Linked DNA regions of Nothobranchius furzeri. The protein of the gene in region 1 purifies or fractionates together with the protein of each later gene. This does not show direct contact. Links are inferred from orthologs where the notes say so. Each region holds a gene or a part of one and is shown in the gene's direction. Other genes may lie near its edges. The genes, in order: phf14, h2ax and hmg20a.

Region 1 (4,199 bases):
TCCGTGTCTGGTCGGAATTACAAAGCATTCAACAACAATAACAATAAAGTTTTAAGTATCAGGCGTGACATTAAAAGCAAATGCTTTGATGCTCCACCTGAGAATAAATCTGTAAGGCTTGTCACCAGCATTCAGACATCAATTCTGCTTGCTTCACAGCCAGACAGGACACGGTAAAAAAAAAAAAAAAAAAAAAAAAAAGGGCTGGATTTCAATAGAGACACAACAGCTGAGAAGACCTGGACATCCTATCTCCTGGTCAAGTTCCCCATCCCAGGAACTACCCTGGAGTTCTGGTAATGGAAACATGCCTAGTGTTAGAGTTGCATTGCCAATCCGATGCAAGATGTCCAAACATCAGGAAGAATAATGATTCCAAATCCTGCTGTTTTCTGCACCCACAGCTAACTTCTACTTCCTGAAACAGGAACGCCAGAGCTTTTTTCTACAGAGGTTGACTATATACTAGAGACCACAGCAAATGTGCTGGAATAACAAGTGAATGCACACTTTTAGATGGTGAAATGCTAGGATTTGAAAAGCCTGACAGATCTTGTGTTGGCCTCATGGACTGTGACCTGACCAGGTGTCACCCCTCACCTGCTGACAGTGGGTCTGTGTTTGTATCAGATATAAAATACATCATTACCAAAGTGGCCCCTTTGAGTTGCCACAGATAGGAAAATGAGCTTCAGTGCCTAAGTGGTTTTTATTGGGCTTTAATGAGAAAAGTAACGACTATTCCGTCACACAATTATTTGCAGGTTTGAATCACACAGTTTAGTTCATACCCAATTGAGATTTGCATAAATAAATAGTAGAACTGCAGAGTGAAAATCCATCTTTTTATTTTACACTATACTGTTGAATATTACTTAATTTTTTACGTTATTGAATGAAACATCAATTCTTGCCAACATTTTGTGGTAATTGGATAACATCTGCTCTATTCTTGAACTGCTAAAAAAATCTGGTCATAGTTTATCCTTTTATCTGAACTGATGAGAGTTTTATATTCATACATGCAAATTTAACAAAATAACAGCATATGTTTGAACGTGGGCATACATTTGTATATATATGAACACTCCTGGTTGTTTGTTGATGTAAATGTAATATTCTTCATTTGTTGTTTTACCTGCAATCTGTTTAATAAAGTTTTTGTGAAAAAAAATGAGTTCAACAAATAAATACTTCCGGGTCACTTCACTTTAAACGTTTCTAGGTTTAAAAAAACAAACAAAAAGTAAATAAACTTGAGCAAAAGCTTTGGATCAGTACATCTGTGCTGCAGTGATCTGTCTGTTGGCTGCATAAATGGCCCATGATGTATCGGGTTTACTGTCTCCATAGAAACAACATCCAGACGTAACTAAGTCACCACCGTGCTCTTATTGTCCAGATGTAACATGCTGTTTTGGTTCTCACTCGTCCTGTAAATAAACGAGTTCACAGTGAGTTTTTGTTTCATTTCGAGTTTACATTCTTCTTATTTCGATCACGTTGTTTATACAAAGCGTTGTTTTAACTAGCTAGCAAGCTAAAGTTAATGTTAGAAGTTGAAAGCAGTGTTAGCCTTTTGATTAGCGTTTGGTGTTAGCATGTAGTTTAAAGTCTACCTTTATACGTTTCTTTCACCGGTGATGTAACCCCATCCTATCATGTAAGGCTCTGTTATCATACACGGGTCTGCTTGAAGTGGTTTAATTGTTAATAAAACTGCCCCGCAGTTTTTTGTGAATCAGTTTAGCTAGCGCTAACAACAGTTAGCTACCTTAGAGAACAAGAATCTATGCGACTGGCTAAGACTGTAACTGATGCTTTGTTGATGGTGTGGTGCTGAACACGGATACTTAGGGCTGTGTGGTTACATTTAGGGCAGAGCAGCTGGTGCTTAGCATTTATGTAATCCCATTCAGATTTCTAGCGGTGTGCTAGTGGCTAATCGGGGACGCTGTGGGGACAGCTAATGTAAGTAAGTAAAGTACTTACATGTACTTACTAACTTAATGTGCAGAAGTTCAGATCCTTTATCGACAGTAAAACCTGATAAGAAGTGATTTGTAGCTAACAAAAGTACTGAATAATAATAATTAAAAAAAAGGGTGATGAAAACCAGACGTTGCTTTAAAATTTCGGGTCACCATAAATTAATAAAGCAAACAGGTCAGGTTATTCTGGTTATCAGTCAGTCTGCGTGTCTAAAGGCACGGTTATCACAGTGCTGTTTGGTATCAGGGTGTGTACCACACTGGACATGGGCCTCTTCGACCAGGACCTTTTATCTTTGTTCATTTGCAAAAAAAAAAAAAAAAAAAAAAAAAGCAGAAGACATTGATGGAATTTGATGAAACTCCGTAATACGTGAATGGGGTCGTAACTGGACACCTAAAATCCTGGCTCGGGAAATACTTTAGTTTTCATGTCAAGGTTTGGATCATTTTTGATACAGTGAGGAAAGACAGTTGGAAAAAACGTTTTTCTACATTTAAAATCTTTGTGACTTTCTGTGGTACAGAGTGGAAATCACTCTCCAACTCAGTCAGAATGCTAACTGAATCTGTGACTTAACCAAAAGGAAGACAATGCCATAATTTCTATTCAAAAGATGACCTACGTCTAAAAAATTCTGACATGGATGGACTTTCATTTAAAATAGTTTTGAACAAGTGTTGCTAGAATTTTTACATAAAATTATGATCCTTTTGTAATAAATTGTTTTTGGGTAGTTTAAGAAGGTTCTGTTGTGAACTGCTGCATCTAAATGTCCCAGCGTGCTCACGACAGCCTACTCAAACTTGTTTTTTTCTGTTAGTGGACCGTAGCTTGAAGAGACGGCAGGTGAAGCCACTTGCTGCCTCTCTCCTTGATGCCTTGGACTATGACAGTTCTGATGACAGTGACTTTGAAGTTGGAGATGCATCAGGTAAACCCTAACCAAACTTTGCAAAGCAAGAGTTGTGTCTTGTTCACAAGGCTGGTGGTCTCTGTTTCTACCTGTGGGAACAACAGACCAACACTAAAGGAAGTGTTTCAAACCCATTTGTGTTCTATGTTCTGATAGGGTCTGATGGTACCGGCAATGGCAGTGATGAGGAGGGCTCTAAGGTCAGTGCTGCAGGCTCAGAAAATGAATCGGACAATGCTGCTTCTGTTGATGATGGTCAGGAGGAGGGGGCCAAAGACCTGGCTGCTGAAGACAACCTAACTGAGGATGAGGAGAAGGTCAAACCATCCTCAGATAGCTCCACCAAAGACACACCCTCTGTCACCCAGTCCAAACGTAGAAGGACGAGCAAGAAGGTGGCGGAACCCAGCCCCGCTGAAGCTGGTGAACCTGAATCTACCTCAGCATCCGGAGCTGGCAGTGGGAATGCAGAGGAGTCGCCGACTGAGCCCAAGAAATGGAATTTCAGAAGGAACCGTCCCCTTTTGGACTTTACAACCATGGAGGAGCTGAATGAGATGGACGACTATGACAGTGAAGACGATAACGACTGGAGGCCTACGGCAGAGAAGAAGAAAGGAAAAGCAGCTGCTCAGAAAGGCGGCACAGAGGAGGAAGAAGGAGGCAGTGCCAGTGACGACAACGACGACGATGAGGACGATGACAATGATGATGATGATGACGACGACGACGATGACGATGATGACAACAACGATGACAAGGAAGATGGTGATGACAACAACAACAGTAGTAGTGATAGTGAGAAAGAGGTGAAGAAGTCCAAGAAGAAGGTGAAGACCAGCAGTGCTTTTGATGATGACCTGACCAATGACAGCATGTCCCAAGGAAAGGGGAATGAGGTGAGAGCACACAGCCACACCTCACAAAGTCTGAGAAGGTTCTAGATCAGGGATTCCCTAAGTGTGGTGTGCGAGAGCTGCCGCTAGGGGGTGCGCGAGGTGAAAAGTGTAATGGCTGCGGAGCTCAGAGAAGTCTGTCATATGTCACCATTAATGTAGCCAGCAACTCATTTGTGGGTGGGCCAAAGAAAAAGTAAGTGGGCCCAATAAATGCAATTGAAAACAAGTATATTTTGCTTGTGTGTGTGTGTGTGTGTGTGTGTGTGTGTGTGTGTCCGCCTCATGCGCCCTAGCTTCATAATAATGATGAGCTCCGAGCTTCAGCGCTCTGACCTGCGCACGCTGCCAACAGCAAGATATGTTCCGTATTTGATCATTTTTAACATGTTGGA
Region 2 (3,010 bases), on another chromosome or scaffold:
GATAATTATTTTCTGTGGAATATCATAACTATGGTTTGATTTTGATAGTTCAGTCAGCAGGCATCTCGTGCTGGGCAATAAGCTTAATCTGTAAAAAATAAAAAATAAAAATAAAGAAAGACTATCAACTTTAAAAATAAACATGTCGGTAAACGATTTACAATGATCAGGTATAGCTGAGTTGCAGCAGCTCAGTGCTTCACTAAGAAAACATATTTTACAACAAACAGTCACACATTTGATTAATTTATATTACACAAACAGCAAAATGTTGTATTTAGGAGAATTATTGTCATAAACATATTTAATTCAATCCACTTGGACTGTCAGGGTTCAGCTCAGGCAATTAGAACCAAGTTTAAGAGTTTTTTATACGTGGAACTGCTCTCAGGGCTGGAAAAAAAATATTAACAACTAGACACACAAAATGATAATTGCTGCAGCAATCAGAACCAATTGTAAAACTGTACATATGATTTTTTTTCTCTTATAAAAACCTCATTTGAAATAACTGCAATAATTTTGGGACCTCATAACAACCAAAATCAATTATTCAATTACTGTGTTTTTAAATAAATATTTAATCTGATTAAATATTATCAAATGGACATGCCAAACATTAAGCCAGTACTGTATGGACAATACTGTCAAACTAATTAAAAATGCAGAACAGATCAAAACCACTCTCCTGCCTGAAAGCACACATACATATACATGTAGTGATATGTGAATGTAATTTGAAAAAGTGGCTGTAAAATTCAAGATGTGAGGCCCCAGTTATATTTTGAAAATGTAATTTATTGCAAATAAATTATTTTTCAACCCTAATGTTGATTGTGCACTTAGTTAATATGGTCTTGTTTTTGTAAAAGGTATATATTTTTACCAGTAAAATGGTTATTTGCTGAGCTGCCTAGGATTAGCTTCGTCTCAGTGGGGGAGGATGGTGGAATTTTCCATGTCTTGCTGGCCCTCCCTCACACAGTTTGTGCAGTGTAAGCTTACTTCAAGCACATTTTGCGCATTTTAATAAATTGTCCTCATGTATAATTGTGATACATGTGTCACCACATTTCGATCTTGGTCAAAAACCCTGACAACATTATTCAATACTTTACTGTATCAATACTCATTAAATCGCTTGAAATGTTCACTTTTCGTTCGGTAACGCGCCAAAACGTTTAAAGCTGGAGGGAAGACCGTCTATTGGTCTTCCTTCTGACACGTGACCCGCGTGAAACTGGGTGAACAAATAAACAACCAATTACCTTTGTCTATTGGTCAGACTCCTCGATGATTGGTGTAGAGCCAGAGCAGCCAAACCAATAGTTACTGGCTTCCTGGAACGTTTGATCTCCTAAAGCCAAACAAATGAGAGCTTCTCTCTCTAGCATCCAATAGTAGTTTGGGGCGGGACTAACGTGGAGGCTTATATATGGCTCGGCGAGCCTTTTTTCTTTCTACTTTGCGATTTTCTGCATTGAAATCATATTCGTGGAAGAGATCTTCAACAATGTCTGGAAGAGGTAAAACCGGTGCTAAGGCCCGCGCCAAGGCGAAGACCCGCAGCTCCCGCGCCGGTCTGCAGTTCCCTGTGGGCCGTGTTCACCGTCTCCTCCGCAAGGGAAACTATGCTGAGAGAGTGGGCGCCGGAGCTCCTGTTTACCTGGCTGCGGTCCTCGAGTATCTCACCGCCGAGATCCTGGAGCTGGCTGGCAACGCCGCTCGGGACAACAAGAAGACCCGAATCATTCCTCGCCACCTTCAGCTGGCTGTCCGTAACGACGAGGAGCTGAACAAACTGCTCGGTGGCGTGACCATCGCTCAGGGAGGCGTGTTGCCTAACATCCAGGCCGTCCTCCTGCCCAAGAAGGCCGGCCAGGCAGCACCCAGCTCCGGCAAGGCGGGAAAGAAGGCGTCCTCTCAGTCTCAGGAGTATTAGCTTCACGGCTAACCACAATGAACCCAAAGGCCCTTTTAAGGGCCAACCACCGACCGAAAGGGCAACTTTTCTAGTTTATCAATGTCGCTCAAAGCATATTTTGTTTGGGTTATTGAAGGCTTGTGTTAAGGTAATTTCTTTCAGGCTAGATCCTTTGCTAAGAAACAAGATTAGGCTAAATTTCCCCAGTTAGCCTGAAATGTCACTTGAAAATCTTCATCCTGAGTTTATTTTTCATCCTTGAATGTTATTTAAAGTAGCAACTCTTCTGCAACTGACCAGATCCAATGCTAGCTGCACACACTGGCAACTAAACATTTGTTATGCATTGCACTCAGGTTCTCAGGGCTGCTGTATGTTTTCATCATGTGAAACGCCTGTTCACAACAAAACGGTTTCATTAAAAGTTCTGCAAGACAACATCTGTCACCTGGAAACGTGTTTGTGTGGTGGTGAAGTCTCAAATGAAATGTACTAACGGCTGTCTATTCAAGCAGCTCCAGGTGTTTCCTTATTGCACATGGAGAAAAACACGCGAGCAGATAGTGTTAACATTCATGGCTTCCTCTGTGGTTTCTTTTACACGTTTTTCAGTTCTTGTCCCTGTACCACTGACTCAACTTACTGGACTGAGGGGTGATGAGCAGTCCGATAAAAACTAACTTCAGAATCCCTGCAGAAAAAATAATAGTACTTGCAAAGTAGTAAATTGCCTGTATTTGTATAGCCCTTTTACCCCAACCCCCCCCACACACACACACACACACACACACACAGTCATTCACCCATGCACGCACATTCACGCTGGTGGTGATGGAGATCCGGTGTAGCTACAGCTGCCCTAGGGAACACTGGCAGAGGCGAGGCCTGTTGTACACTGGTTCCTCCGACCACCACCAGACAAGGTGGGTTAGTCGTCTTGCCCGTGGACACAACAGCAGCATTCTCTGACAGCAAGGGTCAAACCTACAACCTTCTGATTACTGGACATCCCACTCTACCTCCTGAGCTGCTGCTGCGTGTCCAAATCATCACTTTCAAACATTAAAAGAAAAATCTGGAAGCTGT
Region 3 (4,355 bases), on another chromosome or scaffold:
TCATTAACTGAGCTAACGACTGCAGTGCCTACCTCACGATGATCTGTTTCTGATCAACACACAACCCTGTCAGTGTATACTCTGTGTCTGAGGCATGAAGGAGCCGTTGCAGATTCCTTCTAATGTCCAAACCAGCTGCTCACAACGCAAAGTGTTACGGGAGAGATGGAGGGACAACACATGAACGTCATGCTGTGGTTCTGATCAGGACAAGGTGGATGGAAGAATGAAGAAGGTCCAGATCAAGGATGATGGCTGAAGATAGCTGAAGCTTTGACCCGGTTTTTCACACCAGCATGCCGTGCACCACCCTCACACCCTGGAGGAGGGCTGGATCACACGTTTGTGTCGATGTCGTCGGTCTCCGGGCCAGCCAGCCTGCAGACAGACAGGAAGCTTCTGAAGCATGGAGGAGATGATGAAGCACGGCGCAGCGGGTGGATGCAAGGTCAGTGGGACAGCTGTGATGATGGGCCCTACAGGCATGCTGGGATCTGAGGAGGCTGACAGCCGATTGAACCTGGCTCAACAAACTGTCTGCGGAGGCACAATGCACTGATGCTTTAATCTTAAAACATACTCTAAACAATGCCAACCATGTTTCTGCTGGGAGCAAAACAGTTGGCCTGAATCACTATTGTGTTCACAATCAGCCAGTTAGCGACAAACATGATTCTACACAGCAGAGAGGCTTTTCACTGATTCATGACGCTTTCTGCACTGACAGGATGTAAACCGTGTGCTTGTGGAGACGATCTCATGGCTGGCAGATGCTCTTTTCTTTCAACCACAAGTAATCAGACTCATTTGTGTACCTGCTCCTGCATTTGTTTTCCTGTGGGTGAACGAAATCAGCCTCCAGCATCTTTCATTTCCTATCAGGACCAGCTTTTTTATGTTTACACCAGAATCCTTTCAGTTTCACCCTATTTATGAGGCTCTTGTGAGAATTCTTAGTTTGTTTTCTAACACAGTCGTTCAGAAATGAGTCGATCACCACCCGAGCTTCAATTCCAACAATAGCTCAACTTCATTTATTATTTATAGAGTTAGATCGCTCATGTCTGAAAGCAACCTGGTTACATTTAAGATGTCAATACACTTCTGTTTTCTTTGTGATTGTATTACCCAGTGAGTGGATGGATGTGTCCAACCTGTGTGGAATAACTCTGGGTAATTGGAATAAGGCTCTAATCAAAATTTCAATTAGAATGCTGCTGGAGTTATCTCAGCTGTTAAACTCGAATTAATGTATTACTCTTTCTTTGGCTTCCAGTGTGGGAAACATTCTCAGTTTGGATGGATTATTGAAACCCACACAAAACTGGGCAGAGTTGAGTTTGTATTTTTCCTGCTTTTTGCATAAAATCCATAACAAAATAAACTATTCTCCATCTCATCTGTTTAATTACATTCACAAGCCATTAGCTGCTGCTTGCTTCCTTAGTTTAATTAATGAAGTTCGCCATTCTCGGGGGGCTGAATGATTCCATCACTGTAATGGAGCAGCGCCACCGCTAGAGGGCAGCAGAGCCTGGTTAGTCTTCTGAGTAAAAATACACAAAGAGCGAGAGAGCACAGAGCTAGAAAGTATAGACCAGCTTTTCAGCGACGAATCCCTATCAACATATTTTGTGGCTCTCGTTCTTTAATTCCATAAGGTGTGATTTTCTTGCACATCCTAATTATTTATTTGTTTGTGTTTAACTGCGTGATGTGACCCTTTATTTGCTTACTCAGGCGGAACCACGACCCAACAGCTTCGCTATCTGTTAGAGCTCTATCGCGTTGTTGTTGTATTGTTTTGATTGGGAAATAAATGAGCAGGAACAGCCACGGGTCGCGATAAACAAGGTCAGTATCTGCATTTAATGCGTTAAAATACATAAGTGAGTGTTTCTTTCTGTATTAAAGCTGCACCTTTATGTCTGCACCTTCAAGACTAGACCTGGTGGAGCTAACGCTAATGCTAGCTGGTCTGGCTAGGAGCACTACTAGCTTAACGGTTTTACGTTTACTTTACGAGATTATAGCTTCAGTTGAATATAATTTAATGTGTTTGATATTTGATTAAAGTGAAACAAACAAGGAAATAGCCCATTTTGACAATTTGTTGCGTTAGTTAGCCGTAGCGTTAAGTGCTACATGACGCTAACTGTTAGCAGTCCTTGTATTTGTTTCTATTTGTGTTTAAATGACAACAGTGTTTAGTAGCATTACTGCCCACTTTACATACCTAAGTGTGATTCCGATCACATCGGTCACTAACATTAATGCAAGCCTTAATTTAATAAATTTGTTACAGGCGAAACAATAAACAAAAAATGTTTAAATATCTCATTTTTCCCATAATAGTTCGTTTTGTCTGTACTGTGCTTTTTAACAACGTTAAAATGATAGGATTTTGTTTAAAGTGTGTACATCGGATCTATTTTTTAAATGATTGTGTTATTTTTATTCAACTTTTTGAGGAAAATGTGATTTTAAAATGTTACCTGGGTTTTTCAGAGTTAAATTGTGAGGAAAGTTTTCTGGTTTTTCACTGATGCCGCAGATGCTCTTATATCATTATGGTTATCTACACAAAGTATTATTGCCTACAAACACCCCGTGTTGTATGCAGAACCACATTAGCACACATTTGCATCTTAAATTGCAGTGCATCCTCGTAAACGACACTTGTACTCACAAGAGTCTTTCCTGGTTAAATAAAACAACTTTATCGGGTTTCCTCAGATCTCAGGGCTGGAAGATGTGTTCTTGTGGCCAGCTCAACTAGAAGTGTGCATTTGGAGTATTTGACTCTTCACTGTGTCTAAATGGGAACTGGAGCTTTTTTAGTCCAGATTCGACATCGTTGTGAGCTCAGCTCCATCAGGAGGCGCTGCTGCATAGTTTTAGGGGACGTCTGGAAACCTTCAGGGGTGCATGTCAAGCACCACTGATGGTATTGGTGAAAGAGCTGAATTCTCAGTAGGCAGTGTGTGAGTTTAACAGAAGAGGTCAAAGGCTAGAACACGGTTTTACCTGAGGTGGTCCTGCGTGTAGCGGCTGAGCTAAAGGAGAGTTCAGTGCTGGTAGCTGGTTAGCTCTCTCAGTTGTTTGTCTTTACATCCACATAGTTTCTAGTTGAGAGGAGAACCGTGACATCATTCCTGCTGATAACAAAAGTAAACGACTCAGTGACATTTCTGTTGGGAGCAGTTTGGATGAGGAGCAAATCCTATTTCTGGTGTCAGGTCCTTCAGGTGTCACAAAGGGCTGCTCCATTATGGCAAAAATGATGATCACCATTGTTTTGACTGAAATTTAGATCTCGATTGATACGATTTTTAAATCAATATCAATTTATTTGTTCTTTCATAAAACAGCACAGGGCCCAACCAGAGGAAAAAATAAATAAGAAAAAAACAAGATCCTCAAAAAGACCTCCGAGCATAAAAGAGCCAGTACACTTGCTCATAGTTTATGACCCACAGGGTTTAGGCTGGGGTTTAACTCATGGAAGCGTACTAATACAGACCCAACCTGGTAAAAATATCTGACAAATACTGACCGCAAGAGTTGGACAGTGTATTTATATAAATAAAGATCAATAAAAACAACTAAGTACAGCAGCTACGAGTCCCTCGGAGAGATGCATTATTATCTATCAGCATCAGCAACTTATTTCTATCTGTTTAAGACCTATTTATTTACAGCATCAGTTAATGTAATTACCAGTCTTTGTCAGACGACGCGTCGGGTGCTGTAGCGTGTTGCATGATGGGATGGCTGGGTGTATAAAGTGTTATAAACCTGCAGGTCACACGTTTACAAAGAGCAAAAACTTGGTAATGACATGAGATGTAGCGTCTGTGCTGTTATTTACCCTGTTACTGGTTTGACTTTCCATGGCAGGTGTGGCTGTTTGATGCAGGTCTCCCTTTGGACCATGTTTAAATGGTTCAGAATGCAAATTCTGCCTCTTTGGATAGTTGTCATTAAACCTTGTACTGAAGAACTTTTACACAAACAACAGGGAGCCTTAGCCACGCCCTACCAGACCACGGGTCCCCAGAGGAACAAAACAAATGCAAAAATGCCTCTTGTTCTGTTCCATGGATTTCACATATGATTTATGATGAAGACACATCTTGATACCAAGAACGTGCTTATTCTCAAACGGGGGGAACGTTATTTTAGCTTTTGTGTGAAAATAAGTCCAGGACTACAAATGCGCTTCACCACAGTGACGTCATTGAACCAGACACGGGGAAAATGGGGAGAATGGCTGTAAGTTCAGAAAACTTCGAATCTTTTCCTCAGGAGGAAAGAACCGCCATAAGTCTGGTCATGTGGTACGTAGCAGCCGG

The links.
Region 2: the proteins of phf14 (region 1) and h2ax purify together in Homo sapiens (affinity purification with mass spectrometry; 3 studies listed by BioGRID and IntAct, counting the BioPlex papers as one, with this or other methods). This does not show direct contact. The link is inferred for Nothobranchius furzeri from reciprocal best matches to the Homo sapiens genes PHF14 and H2AX.
Region 3: the proteins of phf14 (region 1) and hmg20a purify together in Homo sapiens (affinity purification with mass spectrometry; 3 studies listed by BioGRID and IntAct, counting the BioPlex papers as one, with this or other methods). This does not show direct contact. The link is inferred for Nothobranchius furzeri from reciprocal best matches to the Homo sapiens genes PHF14 and HMG20A.

Annotation. Positions count from the first base shown.
Region 1 is NC_091751.1:23,897,041-23,901,239, forward strand, and holds the start of phf14 (PHD finger protein 14), read left to right. Parts: upstream 1-1,253; 5' UTR 1,254-1,453; coding exon 1,454-1,454; intron 1,455-2,815; coding exon 2,816-2,926; intron 2,927-3,064; coding exon 3,065-3,807; intron 3,808-4,199. UniProt on the Homo sapiens protein: Histone-binding protein. Binds preferentially to unmodified histone H3 but can also bind to a lesser extent to histone H3 trimethylated at 'Lys-9' (H3K9me3) as well as to histone H3 monomethylated at 'Lys-27' (H3K27ac) and trimethylated at 'Lys-27' (H3K27me3).
Region 2 is NC_091750.1:47,427,560-47,430,569, forward strand, and holds h2ax (histone H2AX), read left to right. Parts: upstream 1-1,412; 5' UTR 1,413-1,435; coding exon 1,436-1,942; 3' UTR 1,943-2,364; downstream 2,365-3,010. UniProt on the Homo sapiens protein: Variant histone H2A which replaces conventional H2A in a subset of nucleosomes. Nucleosomes wrap and compact DNA into chromatin, limiting DNA accessibility to the cellular machineries which require DNA as a template.
Region 3 is NC_091754.1:44,442,296-44,446,650, forward strand, and holds the start of hmg20a (high mobility group protein 20A), read left to right. Parts: upstream 1-1,540; 5' UTR 1,541-1,661; intron 1,662-1,740; 5' UTR 1,741-1,854; intron 1,855-4,355. UniProt on the Homo sapiens protein: Plays a role in neuronal differentiation as chromatin-associated protein. Acts as inhibitor of HMG20B. Overcomes the repressive effects of the neuronal silencer REST and induces the activation of neuronal-specific genes.